Linked DNA regions of Drosophila melanogaster. The protein of the gene in region 1 purifies or fractionates together with the protein of each later gene. This does not show direct contact. Each region holds a gene or a part of one and is shown on either strand. Other genes may lie near its edges.

The links. The genes of interacting proteins can lie anywhere in the genome.
Region 2: the proteins of JhI-26 (region 1) and CG11980 purify together in Drosophila melanogaster (affinity purification with mass spectrometry, with the first as the bait; one large-scale study listed by BioGRID). This does not show direct contact.
Region 3: the proteins of JhI-26 (region 1) and CG7737 purify together in Drosophila melanogaster (affinity purification with mass spectrometry, with the first as the bait; one large-scale study listed by BioGRID). This does not show direct contact.

What each region holds. Positions count from the first base shown.
Region 1 is NT_033778.4:16,287,519-16,292,726, forward strand, and holds JhI-26 (juvenile hormone-inducible protein 26), read left to right. Parts: upstream 1-1,801; 5' UTR 1,802-1,853; coding exon 1,854-2,090; intron 2,091-2,227; exon of another isoform or gene 2,228-2,433; coding exon 2,434-3,233; intron 3,234-3,397; exon of another isoform or gene 3,398-3,409; coding exon 3,410-3,692; 3' UTR 3,693-3,815; downstream 3,816-5,208. Other genes in the region: CG30324 (uncharacterized protein), read right to left, coding at 128-622; CG30099 (uncharacterized protein), read right to left, coding at 753-1,406; CG42372 (uncharacterized protein), read left to right, coding at 4,033-4,200, 4,256-4,294; CG30100 (uncharacterized protein), read left to right, coding at 4,297-4,737; CG7747 (uncharacterized protein), read right to left, coding at 4,792-5,206.
Region 2 is NT_033777.3:9,002,037-9,006,421, reverse strand, and holds CG11980 (uncharacterized protein), read right to left. Parts: upstream 2,406-4,385; 5' UTR 2,372-2,405; coding exon 2,347-2,371; intron 2,327-2,346; exon of another isoform or gene 2,284-2,326; coding exon 1,971-2,283; intron 1,914-1,970; coding exon 1,172-1,913; 3' UTR 1,091-1,171; downstream 1-1,090. Other genes in the region: Prosbeta3 (proteasome beta3 subunit), read left to right, coding at 351-968; CG31100 (uncharacterized protein), read left to right, coding at 2,832-2,881.
Region 3 is NT_033778.4:11,221,447-11,227,836, reverse strand, and holds CG7737 (uncharacterized protein), read right to left. Parts: upstream 4,393-6,390; 5' UTR 4,239-4,392; coding exon 4,154-4,238; intron 3,268-4,153; coding exon 1,721-3,267; 3' UTR 1,091-1,720; downstream 1-1,090. Other genes in the region: metro (menage a trois), read left to right, coding at 1-174, 294-814; Syx6 (syntaxin 6), read right to left, coding at 5,977-6,053, 6,208-6,390.

The DNA.
Region 1 (5,208 bases):
AGCTGAGTAATGGGTATGTGATAGTCGGGGAAATTAACTATAGTGATTTATTGAAAAACATGCAAATACTTCTCACATTCCGAACTTTTATTAAACTCTTTTTTCCCCAATTGAGTCCTGCCCAGGATTACAAGTCATAGCAGAGCGATTTATTGGTACAGGGACAACCATCGATGCCGTAACGCCCAATCGGAATGTCCGTCTGGGTCTCCTTGTGCTGCGGTCCTGGCAACTCGTAGAATTTCTTACCAAAGTATCGATCCGGGAGATAGTACGATGGATACTCCGCCCTCAGCCTCTCGTGATCCTCCCGCAGAAATTTTGCCAGTTCGGGAGTAGCCCGTCGAGCTTCCAGGCGATACTGCTTCGGCTTGGCCATTCGGATTGGAACTTCCAGGTGGAGCTTCGAGTGCGGTATGTAGGACAGCAGCTCCTGGTCGAGTTTCACTGCCTGCTCTGCACGAATTTGTGCGCAAGTGGCACACTTGCATTTTCCACCATGGTAGCAGTACCGCTTTCGTCCATCCTCGTCCACCATCAGCAGTGGGGTGCAGATGGGCGACGGAACCGGTTGTGCCTCCGTCTGCGTGGCAACCGACTCCTGGGCGGGATCGGAAAACATTGTGGAAAGAGTGGGGTTCAAATCGGAAAGGTACGAACGATTTGGATTGCAGAATGAAACTAAATATCGGAGAAAAACAGATGTATTATCAGCAAACTCCTTGGCAACTAGATATCAAAAATTACAAATTTTAAATTAAACATTTTATATTGTGCAGCTTGATTAAAGTTTCCAAGTGGCTGGAGACACCTCTGCTGCATCCACAACTAAGTGCAGAGTGAGGATATGCAGCGGAGGAGTTCCACAGCCAGGTGAGATCCCCATGCCGATCACAATCTTTTATCCTCAATCGTTTATCCCCCGTGCAGTAAATGTTTTTGCTGAGATCCTTCTTATCCCGCTTCACAAAACCACAATCCGGACACACATGGGACATCGCTGGATTTCTTTGTGCAGCCTTCATCTGAAGATAGTAATCCTTGAGCTTTCGCTGACGCACTTCCTCGAAGAACTCGCGCATTTGTGGCGAATCCCGAACAGTGGGCTCCTCGATGGGCTTCCTACTCGCTTGCATTGGACAGACGACATCGTCGTGTTGAGCATTCTTCGACATTTTCAACTGATCGTGTCGGCCGCTCGTTATTTTGCCTTTTCGCGAAGAAGAGGACATATATGACATGTTATCCAAATCCGTGATCCTGATCGAAGCACTTGTCCTCTTTGGCACTTTGGATGGCATGCTGATATCTCGACTTTGCTGCGATCCATTCGTGAACTTTCGAACGTAGGTGTTGGCCCTGGTCATTGACCCGGTCGTTTTGAGTAAATACCAGTTGAGGCCCATTGGTAGTTGGTCGATAGTCGAACTGCAACGGTAGGATAGCTTTTTCTAAAACTGGAAATTTTGACTAAAAATATATCGATACCTGTGATTATGGAAAATAGAACTTAATCCAAAGGAATCATTAAACTTTGCACACAATAAACAAAAAAAAAAAACTAATTAAAACTAATAAATAGCGTATCCCCCTATCTTTGCGTCATGATATCTTATCATATCATTTTAACATGCCAAATTGCATCATGCTAATCATTAGGTAGGTACTGCTTCTCTATAAACCATAAAGTGCTTTTAATGATTAGAAAGCTTTTCATTTCCAATTCGCTCTTATCGTGTAATCTCTAACAACGAATGAGCTTTTGGAGAGTAGTACAAAATGAGCTATATGAAATGGTTTATGCTCATTCGCTATCCACAAGCGAAGCGGTTGGGATCGTCAGTACCGACGAAATGGAGAAGATCGAGGCTGAGAGGCAATGGCTGAGATACACGGTTCTTCCGTCAATTCTGAGGAACGGGCGCCTGGTGGACAACTACAGCGAGTCCAAGGTGACCACATTCCATGTGGGGGACATCGACATTGATGTAATTGGCCACTCGGAGGCCTTTATGCTAACTTTTTGCTACCGGACAACCATTAATTTTGAATACGACGGGCAAAAGTTTCAGCGAAAAATGGTGGTTAAGGTAGGTTTATTCCATTCACATAGTATAAATAAATCTTAAACAATCTATCTGGATATCTAAAAACACAACGAAAAGATTTACTATACTCGCGGAATTTAAATTATATTATATAAGTGCCTTAACTGCGTACTACTTACCAGTTTTGTTTTCCAGCAAACTCAGATAGCTTAGTGAGAGTGTGGGTTTTATGGCAAACATTGTGAAATAGAGGGAGGCATCTCAACAAAAGAACAAAGCGAATTGATTTTGAATTCAAAATAAATCACATCTAATGATGAAGTTTACTTTGGCATGCAATGACCCCAGAATACCAATAATTAATTGTTTTTTTTTTTTTTTGTAGAAAACACCTGCTATGCCACCAGAAATGTATGAATCCATACAGTTTGGGCCCCTTTTTACCAACGAGATAAATTTCTATACGGAAATTCTGCCAGAGTTTCAGAAGTTCACCGATGGCAAGTTTGCCGCACCCAAGTACTATTACGGCGAGTTGAACCAGCATTCGGCTGTGGCCATTCTGGAGAATTTCGCGGAGCAGGGATGGCGGGTCACCAAGGATCGTGTGGGTCTGAGTCTGCAGCACGCCATGATTGCCGTGAGTTACCTGGGAAGGTTCCATGGCTTTGCGTACGCCATGAAGCACAAGAACCCGGAAAAGTTTGCCCAGCTGACTGACAATCTGAAGGAATCTCGCTATGCCAACGATAACATTCATCCGGAATGGAAGCTCACCATGAAAACGAGCATCGATCGAGCGGCCAAGGCGGTGGCCACCTATCAGCCACAGATCGACGAGGAGTTTGTTAAGAAGTTCTGTTTCATGATCTCGGACTATTCGCAATACGGTAGGCAACGGGTGGCGCCCAGGGAGCCACTGGCCACCCTGTGCCACGGCGATTATGTGAGGAATAATGTGGCGTACAGGTACGATGACAAGGAGGAGCCGCAGGAGATCATGATGTTCGACTACCAGACATTGCGAGTCTCCTCTCCCATGGTCGATCTCAACGTCTTTCTAGCCGTGTCCATTTTTGCCGAGGTACGCGATCCAAACTTCGAGGCCATCTTCTGTGAATACACCTTGGCGCTTCATAATAGCTATAGGGAGCACGCCAAGGAGGAGGTTCCGGATTTCCTAAGGTGAGTTGTTATTATTATTCATTATTCATAAGCTTTTAAAATTTCAAACAAGCGATATGAATGCAAATCAAAAATCTAAAAATACTCATTAGGTGCTCGATGTGATAAGATAAGATAATCCTGTAAAGCTTTTTACTGCCAAGAAATAATATAATACTAATTACGCTATTTCTTAGTCGCGGTGAGCTTCTGAAGGAGTACGTGCGTTTCCTGCCGTACAGCTTATCCATATCGGCCAGTTTCCTCATGAGTTTGGTGGATCCCTTGGACATCTCGCCCGAGGAGATGTTCGCCTTGCAACTGTCTGACGAGGAAATCATCGAACGGACCATGAATCGAGGTGGAGAAGTTGTGGACAGGGAGGTTGCTCACCAGGTTAAGGAAATGCTGGAGCTGAGCCAGGCGACAGGGGTGTCCATTGATGACGGCATTGATCTTGACAAGTTGCCCAAGGAGTAATCAATTGATAGCCTAATGTAAAAGTATTCAGGCATTTCAGGTATAGCGTAACTGTAGATAATAAAATAGATGTTAAAGTGACATGCATTACCTATTTAGAGTTTAATACACTGTTTAACCGTGACTAGGAATTTTTAACAGTGGTGGGGGAATCGTAAATTGTGGGCTACTTAAGATTTATAATCTTATCATTGCGTTTTTTTCAAATGTTTATTTTTATAACTGTTGCTTTTGTTTTGATCGCACAACGCCGCAGCTGATTGTGTTTTTGCTGAACTGCCAACCTGTTGTAGTTCTGCGTTAACCAGCACTGTCACACATGTGAGAGTGAAATATGAAAATGGTTCAACCTTCGCGGCAGCAAATTTTGCGTTTATACAAGCATTTAATTCGTTACGGCAATCACCTAAAGCTGACCGACAAGAACTACTTTCTGGGAAGAGTTCGCCACGAGTTTCGGGACAACCGTTCCCTTACGAATCCCGTGGAAGTGGAATTCAGCTTTAAGGTAAGTGCCACTTTCGTATTTCATAACTGATTTACAAAATGAACTTATATTTCAGCGCGGAGAGACCCTGCTAAAGAAGGGACGCATTCTGTAGGAATGCTGCGAGGTCTGGTGCGATTCCTGGCGCTGCCTCCGACCGCTGTGCGCTGCAAGTCCAATCTGGACTACTCCCGCTTTCCCGTGCTTCAGGAGTCGGATATCGAGGAGACCTTCATGCGCGGCAGTGGTCCTGGTGGCCAGGCTGTCAACAAGACATCCAACTGCGTGTTCTTGCGCCATCTACCCACCAATATAACGGTCAAGTGTCACACACATCGTCTAGCATCAAAGAATCGAGTGGAGGCTCGTAAACTTCTACTGGAAAAACTGGACGTGCATCTAAACGGAGAGCATTCAATTGCCGCGCAAGTCAAGGCACAAGAGCAGAGAAAGTCCACTGAGCGGCGGCGGCGACAGGAAAAGCTGCAAGAAATGAAGAAAAGCTGGCAGGATAGAGAGCGCACAGATGGGGGAACCAAATCTACCGATAAAGAGTGATAACTTTTACTTCTAAAACGGTCTTTTAAATATTTATTTTTGGAAAACAATGGGTTACCAACTGGAGAAATCTCCAAAACCATTCGCCAGTTTCTTCTTCTTGGCTGCTTGAGCGGATGTAAGTGGCGCCTCTGGCTTTTTGGCCACTGTCTGAAGTTTCAGGTACTTGCCTACGCCCTCTCTGTACACCTTCAGTGGCTCCTTCATGCGCTTTTGCTGCTCCTCCTTCTTGACAATCTCCTCCTTGCCGGCCGCCTCCTCCTCGCGCTCCTTGGCCAACTGTTCGGCTGCCTCGGCAAATGGATTCACAAAGACCTGTGAGGACTCAATGATGATGTCCTCAATTGGTCTGTCCTTGTTATCCACCTCGATATTTTCCATCTTTTGAAGAGTGTCTAATCCTCCGACAAGCTTTCCAAAGATGGTGTGTTTGCCGTCGAGATGTTTGCAAGAGCGATAGGTGATAAAGCT
Region 2 (4,385 bases), on another chromosome or scaffold:
TGGCATATTAACATTTGGATCTTTTATTACTTCAAAAGGATCCAAATGATAAGAAAAATGCGTTTTAACATTCGCGGAGATATTTTTGCATTTTTAAACATTTTATAACTTTAACTTGTGTTTAAAAATACTAATACTTAAAAAATACTTAAAAAACGCGATTCTTTTTGAAATCTCTTTAGTAGGCGTTGCCAGTTCTATACAGCCAGTCAGTATTAGCCCATCTTACACTCGCAGTCTGGCAACGCAGAGCAGAAACAAAAAGTCATCTTCCCAGGCGGCTTTTAGCATTTTGCAAAATTTCCATTTTTCTGCTGATTAAATTGAGCTAAGCGAATAGCAACGACACCATGTCGATTCTAGCCTACAACGGAGGATGTGTAGTGGCCATGCGCGGAAAGGACTGCGTGGCGATTGCCACGGATCACCGATTCGGCATTCAGGCTCAGACGATCTCCACGGACTTCAAGAAGGTGTTCCACATCGGCCCACGGATGTTCCTCGGGCTCACAGGCCTGCAGACGGACATCCTTACTGTTCGCGATCGCCTGATGTTCCGCAAGAATCTGTACGAGACACGCGAAAACCGTGAAATGTGTCCCAAGCCCTTCTCGGCCATGATGTCCAGCTTTCTGTACGAGCACCGCTTTGGCCCGTACTTCATTGAGCCGGTCGTTGCTGGCCTGGATCCCAAGACCATGGAGCCTTTTATCTGCAACATGGACCTGATCGGCTGCCCCAACGCACCCGATGACTTCGTTGTGGCCGGCACCTGTGCGGAGCAATTGTATGGCATGTGCGAAACCCTGTGGAAACCCGATCTCGAGCCGGACCAGCTGTTTGAGGTCATCGCCCAGTCCATTGTGAACGCATTCGATCGCGACGCCATGAGCGGTTGGGGTGCCACCGTCTACATTATCGAGAAGGACAAGATCACGGAGCGCACACTGAAGACCCGCATGGACTAGATGATGTTAGAGGTTCCCTTGGTGATTTTGTATACATTAACCGAAATACACATACAAATAAAATTTGTTTAGGTACAACATGTGCGTATTTCTTTTCCGTATAACGTAATAACACCAGAATTAAATGCGTAATAACACCAGAATTAAATGCGATCTAATTATTGTTTTTCAATTTCAAAAGCATAACTTTAAGTCGTATTATATTATTGCTCTTCTGTCCACTCGGTGGATTTCTTGGCCAACAACATGGCAGCCTCCTCGGTTTTTGCCCCGCCAATAAATCCTGTGTGATGGATGAATTCGAGATCTTTGATGCTCGCCTTATCGCATAGTTCATCGTCCATCAGTCCGCGCCAAGGAGTGGGCAGAAATTTGCGGCCCAGATAGCTGCCAGGCGTCACTGGAACTCCGGCCACTCGCCAACTATTGCCGCTGTTGAAGACGACCAGCTTGGGCACACCCTCCACCTTGTACTCCTTTTCAAGATCGAACAGATGAGACTTCCAGGGGCAGAAATTCTTCAACACAAGAATCTCGCCGGTGGGATGGACGTTCTTGGCATTTTTAAGAGCCTCTCGTACGTGATCCCGGGCTGGAATCCAGGAACATGATACCTCCACAACGTTGTCCACAAACTCACGACCTGCAGTATCCATCGCCTGTCTGAATCGGTCTTCGATGTCTACGCCAGTTTCCTGCCAGGACGGATTCAGTTTGGCAATGCGGGCAGATAGATGAGTGGAGATTTTGTATATAGGCTCAACGCCCTCGAACATGGGCACTCCATTATCAATTGCGTCCAGTTCGTTGATAAAATTCCTATAGATCTGAATAAAGGCCGTTTGCAGGTTTTCCGGTGAGAGTTTAATTCCCTTTTCGCGCTGCAGGATGCTCTGTATAACACGCTCGCCATAGTGACAGTAGACCAGTCCAGCACTGCTTAGCCTGGAGGGGATTACATTGGATTATACGGGTTCATTTACGCTAACACCACGAATTCACCTGACAACGTTGTAGTCCTCGCTTACATCTGGGCGAACGGAACTAAAAGTCTCCTTGAAGGTTATTTGGTGGTGATCGTACAATTTCTTGGCATGATCATAAACGCCGCCCACGTCGACAATTATATCGCACTTCTCCTTCAAAGCCTTGTTGTCCCGACTGCGGAAAATCTCTGCGTTTTTGTACTCATCCAATTGCTTGAGCATAAAACATGCGACCAACTCGTCGCAGTGAAAAGTGCCGCTGTGTGTGCCGATCCAAAGGGGAGAGCGTTTTGGTGGGGTAACTCCAGTCATTATAGATAGTTTTCCTGCTTCAAAACATTCAGTTAAGCCCAGATATTTCAATTAATTTCGGATTGTAACCAAAAACTTACGAAAACGAGGTAACAATCGGAACATTAGCGACGGTCTTTTCCTCCATTTAATATCGATATCACAAGTTTTTATAACTTGATATGGCAACACGCGTTCAGCTTAAATATATAAAAACTGCAGCGTGGCAGCACTGGTAACGGTTTTTTAAGCCGCAAACAATTAACAACATTTTAATTAAATACGTTTTATAGGCAAGTTGGATTTTAATATAATAATATATGAAAATTCAGTGAAATCTGTACCAAGCACTGCCAGCTTATCAAAGAACTTCGCCCCACACCAATCGATTGCATGGGCGTTTGTGCTTATCCAATAAATTAGCATTCGCTTGCTAATTTGTAAAACAACAACTCATAGGGACCACATCAATTTTTTGGCTGCTTAGTAGAGAATTATTGGCTGAAAATTTTAGTAAGCCTTTGGAACTCAAGACCCACGAATGGATACATTGGATAAAATTGACTAACCACAAGGATTTACCAAAATGGCAGAAGCCCGTTTGCGCCGAAATATAAGTCGGCAAGTACCCGCAATGTAAGAGTGATTAGTTTAAAAGATCATTAAAAACGCGCGGGAATCGGAAAGCTTAAAAATACATTACTGACCCACTGCGTGGCATTGCTTATATAATCGTTATAAGTTATTTAAATTTTACATTTCCGTTAATTGTGCGCTGAAACTGACGAACAATAATTAAAACCGAAATAGTAGGCAAACGGTCTATGTATGCGTTTAAAACATAAATCACCGCCGACAACAATGATCACGTGTATGAGCGCGAACAAAACGTTAAATTCAAATTGTTACACAGGCATTTTTCCCGTTGTCAGCATCCCATGACCTTCGAAAAGATGCTAAGCTCGGAAATTGAGTGGAAAAGGAAGTGCCTGTGTAAACGAAACTCGTTTGGAAAACACACTTCACTATCTCCAATTGGAATGCGAAATTCAGCTCGAATTAAAGTTCAATTTGCCCCGACGTCTACGTCACGCGGCCAAATCAAAAATTTCACAGGGCTTATTGTGGTACTAATCGATGCAGACACGCTTATCAAAATCTGGACTCGTTTCGACCTCAGCTTCTTGCAATTAAGCTTATCATACAGATTACGTTAGAAGTTCATTGCCACTGAGCGAAAAATGCGCTTGTTTTTACAACTACCCAAGTAATTATATTTTCACGCCCGTGAGCAAATAAGCAAATTCCACAGGTAAATACCAAACTGAAACTGAAAGGTATATTGTACCACATGTCGTTCTTAAATGAATGAAAGTGAATAGTAAGTTGAATATACAAATATTTAAATCATTTTTGGCTTATATAGCACTTACAGGGTATCATTGGATCGGTGAACTGGCACCCTCGTTACGTATATGCCCATTTAACTTATATTAGCACCGTCTTTTTTCAAATAAATCGCTTAATACAACAAATATGTGAGTACGCGTCAAAAAAACTTTAAGGGCAATTAACTGGAGCACTTAAAATAGAGATTACTAAATCGGGAGGTGATGATTTTGTATTTAAAATTAAAAATTCGACACTATCATTAAATTGCATTACTATCGTTGTAGTGTTCTCTGGTGTGCAACATCACAATTGTAGATTTATTTACTCGAGCCTAAGTGAACTTAAGTAGCCTTACTGTATTTATAGAGGCGAGATCAAAGCCGCCTGACGTTATATTCATGTGTGTTGTCCGGTTTATGCAACTGTCATTTAACTATGGCGAGAATTTACCTTTTCCTGCTCGTATTTGCATCGTACATTATATAGAATACGGCTTTGTGGGTATATTCTTGAACTCAAACCGGAATGCTGGGTATACAAATAAGAATTCAGAAAGAAATTAATGTGTTTTTTTTTATGAATGCCAGACCGATTCGAAGCTGATTTAGTGGGAAGATCTAGTAGCGGGCAATGATGAGGTTAATACAATAAAATACAACAAACCGGTTTGTCAGCAGACCCTCAATTGTTCTCCCGCTCAATGAATACGATTTTGGGGAATTTGTTTTGTTTTCTAGCCGCCGAATTG
Region 3 (6,390 bases), 5.1 Mb from region 1:
ACGACGACTTTGACCGCGAGCAGATCGCCACGTACGAGGAGGTGGCCAAGTTGTATCCACGGCCCGGAGTCTTCAGGCCCATAGTGCTCATCGGAGCACCCGGCGTGGGGCGGAATGAATTGCGCCGCCGGCTGATAGCCCGGGATCCCGAGAAGTTCCGCAGTCCGGTTCCGTGTAAGTTTTCTTAAGTTTGTTTTATTAAGTGAACAAATGAACTAGTGTAGAAATGACCAAGTGAACAAATGGACCTCTTTTCGAACATCTTTAATAGAAAACCTATTCGTTTTTTTCAGACACCACCCGACCAATGCGCACAGGTGAAGTGGCCGGACGAGAGTACATCTTTGTGGCCCGCGAGAAAATGGACGCGGACATCGAGGCGGGAAAGTTTGTGGAGCACGGCGAGTACAAGGGCCATTTGTACGGAACATCGGCGGAGAGTGTCAAGTCGATTGTGAATGCCGGCTGCGTATGTGTGCTGAGTCCGCACTACCAGGCGATCAAGACTCTGCGCACAGCTCAGCTGAAGCCCTTCCTCATCCATGTGAAGCCACCAGAGTTGGACATCCTGAAGGCTACGCGAACGGAGGCGCGTGCCAAATCCACATTCGACGAGGCGAATGCCAGAAGTTTTACGGACGAAGAGTTCGAGGACATGATCAAGTCGGCCGAACGCATAGATTTCCTATACGGACACTTCTTCGACGTAGAGCTGGTCAACGGCGAACTGGTCAATGCTTTCGAGCAGCTGGTCCAGAATGTCCAGCGACTGGAGAACGAACCGGTATGGGCACCATCCATGTGGGTGCAGTAGATCGGTTGCCAAATGTGGACAAGCATTTCATGCAGTTTGTTGATGAACACCAAAGTATTTTTGCCATACGAATTTAGCAATCTGCTAGAGAAACGGAGAAGAGACACTATTTACCCGTAGGCGGTCCTGCTGGGCACTCCCGTCCGGCCTTAGTCCTTTTCACGACATGTACCTTTTTGCGTAACAGTGAAAACAATGTAATGAATACAATAATTATTGACAGAAAGTGAAGGAAATTTGAACTCAACCAGCATCTAACTTACAATTAAATTATATAAACTTGTTGTACAAAATTTATTTGTGTTCAAAGAATGACTTAATTATAAATGTATGTATTACACGTTGTTGAAATCAAAGTACAGAGTTAATCCCCCCGTAAAACCTAAAGCTAATCGTATTGTATCTCAGTTGTATATACACTCACTAACTGAAGCATATTGGATACAATGTGAAGTTCTGTGTGACGACATGTCTCATTTCGAAAACTGATTTCACCAAAAACGTAGTGACAAATTGTTGAAAACAAGTGAGAAACTAATAAAAAAAAAAAACTATTTTAAATGCGATTGAGAGGGAAGCGTTTTTCATTAGCTTAGCAATTGATGATGTATATATTAACTTTATTTAGGTTAGAGAAGACTTAAACACAGCTTTATTGGGCAGCGCACTTGTTGACATATTGACATGCTCACGTACATATAAACTCGTAAATATAATCTGTCACCTATGCTAACCTATGGCAAATGTGTAAATTATTAGCTTAGGCATATGAAGTCTATCCAGGATGTACTGATCAGTTTTCTTGATTGTATCTTGTAGTGCGAAGACAGAATTCTACATCCACACGTATAACTGGGTCAGGTATCGCTGTCGTCTATACATGTTCTACGATATCCTAGCCTACAGCTAGAGTTGCGATTTGGTTCCAGAACGGGACACGCTTATTCCGTAAAACTGGGCCAGTCGTCTGGCCTCCCGCCATCCCGCCTCGACTGCTCCGTGAACCGTGGAGTAGTAGTGCTCGCTGGACGCTTCTCCGGCGAACTGGACAATGGGTCTATCGCAGCGACTCTGCTGCCACGCCTCGTCCTCCGAGTCCTTGTCCTTCTCCGGAGTGGTGGCCACCACGGTCAGGGGATGGGATAACTCCCGTGCACCCGTTCCCAGCTGCTCCGTGTCCATGGATCGATAGGAGTAGGACCCACGAAAATTGTCATTCGTATACCAGGCAGAGGTGCGGAAATTCGCGGGATCTGGGATTTTCCACCTCAGGAATCTTCGGAAGAGGTACATAACGCCAGCCTGGACCTCATCAACGGGAAGGGTTTCCATGTGCCTGCCGCTCTCATTGGTTATCCAGCCCGCCAAGATTCTCGGCTGATAGCTCACCCTGTAGAAGCCAAAGACATCCTCCAACCATGCTCGAGAAGTGCCGCGTATGTCATCCAAATCCTCGTCCCGCCAGAGCATGGTGAAACCCGTCCAATCCTCGGGCCAAAATGCCTCGGGAAACTCCACAAAGATTTTGTTGACCGTTCCAAAGGCCAAACCGTCAATGGCACGTTGTTTCTCTACTGGAAGCTGTGGCTCAAATAGCCGAAGGTGCTGATCCTTGAGAACTCCCAATGAAACCGTGACCACCACATGGTCAGCTATACAGGTCTCTCCATTGCTCATTTGAAGTTCCACGCGTCCGTCGTTCCGATTCCAGTTGATCTTCACAACACGAGTGCCAAGCAGGAGACGCTGCTCCAGAACTCCATGCTCCACATTTAACTCCCTGGAGCGCATGAGAAGCCGTAGAAGCTCCACATAGCCCTTGTCCTTCCAGTTTAGCAGGATATCGCCCTCGCACTCCCAATAGTCCAGGTAACCTCGTCCCGAAACTTGTTCTAGCGTATCCGAGGCCTCGACGGAGTTCTCGAATTTCTGATAGTTGACAAAGAACTCACTGGCCACCTCTGCGTCTATATCGGAGTTTTCCGGACGCCGGAGAGTGTCGTAAAACTTGTTGGTCAGATAGCTGCCCAAGGAACCGCTGCAGTGACGCAGCTCCAGTTGCCGGGTGACCAGTGAATCCCCGACGATGGCTTTCAGGCGACTAGATACCTCTTCCGGTACCACATCTCCGTTGGAGCGGACGCACTCATAGTTTTCGTAGACCGGACCCGTCGACTCCAGCAGCTCCTCATCCTGTTTCCGTGTCAGTTCGTACACAATGTTGTCCCGTTCCCCATGACACCATTGGGCACCCAGATCAATGACGTTGTCCGCAAAGGGTATAGTGTGTATGCGGCCACCTAGACGATCCTCCGCCTCCACGACGAGCACATTCTGAAAGCCCAATTCCAGCAGTTTGGTGGCACAGGCCACACCCGAGGCTCCTGCTCCGATGACAACGATCTTGCGATCCTGATTCCGCTGTGCGCCACTCATTCCGGGTAACTGAATATCTGGTTTGGAAATAAAGGGGTAGCAGAGCAACAGGAGAAAAGCAAATTAAATAATAAACACCATAAGTTCGAATGTGCTAGAGTGTGAGTAAGTGGGTTGTGGGCAATTGTGCGTACACTTGAAAAAAATCTGGTATACTTAAAAGCACATTAAGTATGGTTCCCTTTTCAACCCACAATATTTAGAAAATTATATTTGGATGATTTTTTCAAACTTGCAAACTATTTAAAAATTTGTAAAATTGTTTTTCAATTTTATGCAACAGTAAGCATTATTTAATTATGGTTTCCTTTAAACACACAATATTTAGAAAATTATATTTGGATGAATTTTTCGAAATAGCAATCTATTCAGAAATTTGTAAAATTGGTTTTTAATTTTACGCAACAGTAAGCATTATGGTTTCCTTTAATCACACAATATTTAGAAAATTATATTTGGATGCATTTTTCAAAATTGCAAGCTATTCAAAAATTTGTAAATTTTTTTTTCAATTTTATGCAACAGTAAGCTTACAAATGCTTGGCGTTAAAACTGTGTAAATTGTAATACAATATCACTTATTCGCAGTCATGCCTAAAATCTCAGAACGTGAATACGTTAGCTTTACTATCCATTGCAAATGTTAAAGTGAATAAAACAAGCCCTTTTAAAAATTCTTATGGTTGTAGGAAATTTGCTTTTCAAAATTCCCATTTTGCTTTCACAGATATGGCTTTTCAATTTCCCTTTCACTTTCAAAAATAGCATTGTAAATTGATTTCGCAATAAACTTATCGTATAATATACATAAACAACAGTCTGTGCGGGTAATTTGCTGATATATAACATGATATTTTCACCAACAGAATTAATTTTGTGTTTTTTTTTGCCATTTTTGCTTACTGTGCATTGGAAATTTGCTTATGGCAATGGTGCATTGCAATTCCAGACACTTGAGTTTTATTACCGTCCACTTTCCGTACAACATAAACTACACACGTCTTTTGATTAAAAAGTAACGGCATGTTCGCTCATCTGTTTCGATAACGAACGAATCCCTGCCCGCGAATCCGACTTTTGATAAGAGTTTCGAAAAAGCTCCCCCCACCCAGCAATGAAAACCACGAGCAACACACTGGCGTCCAAAGGAAAACACACGGCCACCAAGAACACATGTAGTCTGAAATATGTTCACTCGCTTCTTCTGGCCACATGCATTTATTAATAGCCACGGCAGCAAAGGGAAAGCGGAGGAAAAATCCCAGAAGGAGTATCTAGCCAACCGGACCAGCTGGTTTTACCTGGCGGTCAACTGAAATCTGAGTGTTTCCACGAAGAGCAGTAAGTGGGGGGGGGGGGGGAAAGAAATGGAAGCGGTATCCCATCTTCCGCCGTTTGACATTGATTTTATATATTTTTGGCCAACAAAATGCTCAAGGTTTTCAGCGGCAACAAAAACTGCACACAATAGGAAAACCAACCACAAACATCCGAGAGGAAGTCGAATTTTGGGTTACTGCATATTTGGGGGTGATAATGGGTGGGTATGTTCACTTCACTGCGCACTGTCACTCACCAAAATAACTTTGAATGCCGCTTAGCCGAAGTAATTCAACAATTGAACATTTCTACCGGAATATCAGGAGATATATATATATACTATATGCCAACTGCTGGGAAAACTCCAGCTCCGCGGAAAAGGCAAACAACACTGAATGCCGAAACCCGAAAAACATCACATGGAAACGTGCCGCTCTGCCCGTGTGCTTATGCTGTGACCCAGTGGCGTAGTCCGGATTCCCCGTAGGGGTTATGTTTCAAGCCTTTCGAAGATACCCCTTTGGTTGCGCCACTGTGCGCAGACTGTAAGCTCGCCAAAAAGCTCCGGGCAAAAGCATGCAACACAGCTGAGTGAGTGGGCAAATCGAGTGGGCTGTCGAGTGGTTTTGGGGCGCAGAGAGAACATGAGAAGGGGCCTGATACCCTCTCCTTGTGCACAGAGAAAAATTTGGTATTAAATACCATTTTCCAAATCATTGATCTATCAGAAGATAACATCTTGACTAATCCTACTATCCTTAAAAACATTAAAAAATTTGAAAGCTTGTATTTCCAATTTTTGTTTAATTTAGGCTTTCAAAATAGCGAACAAATTTTTGTATATGTATACAATTTCTCTCTGTGCACTCATACAGTATTTCTAGGTGACCCGTAAGAAGTACCTCATTTGGCTTTAAATTAGGAATTTAATTTATAAGTATATATATTTACTCAATTGCATACAAGTTTTTGCTAGATTTGGTTAGTGAAATTTCCTAAGACTCTTCGTTAAATAACTCGTTTGATATTGGTAGGTCCATTTTGTTTGTATGTATATATATGCAGATATATCCTTCGATGTATATACAGCTTACAGTTGCAGTATCCTTTGGCCAAATTGGGAATGACAGAACTCTGGAGCACTTGGTTTATATGTAAGTAGTTAGTTATCTTTTATTACCCGCCTACATTGACTTTACATGATCATTTGTCCGTAGCTTTGGAATTACATTATATATATATAGAGAGAGGCGGCTGGTAATAAATCAGGTTAAAATGTTTCCGTGTATATACAGCAAGGGAGTTTACATGGAATTGTAATTAAGAGCCCGAATTCAAAAGCAAGCTAAGTCATAAATAAATCTAATTTACACTAAATATAAACGATTTGGGAACAACGAAAGCAATTACAAAATAATAAACAAAATTATCACAAACAATAACAGTCCGGATAGGATGAGAATGGCGGCCCACTGTCGTTTATCTGTGAAAGAAGATGGATACAGTTAAGAATTAGGAATCAGAAGTCACAAAAGTATTCAATGGGTAATTTTGATTGTGGTTCACTGAAGCATTTACTCTTCATTAATATTTCAATCAAAATAGTCCTTGAATACCACAAGTGCCGCACCACTCACCATTATTCATGTGCAAGACTTTGGCAACTTTCTTCATGGTCGTATCCAACTTGGACTCCGTGGTATCGAACTCGTTCCCAAAGTCGTCTAGCATGACGGCCTGCTCATCGAGCTCAACGCCAATTTGCCGCGAGACCGTCTTGAGGGTACCAATCGAATCGCTGATCATGTCTAGCTGCTCAT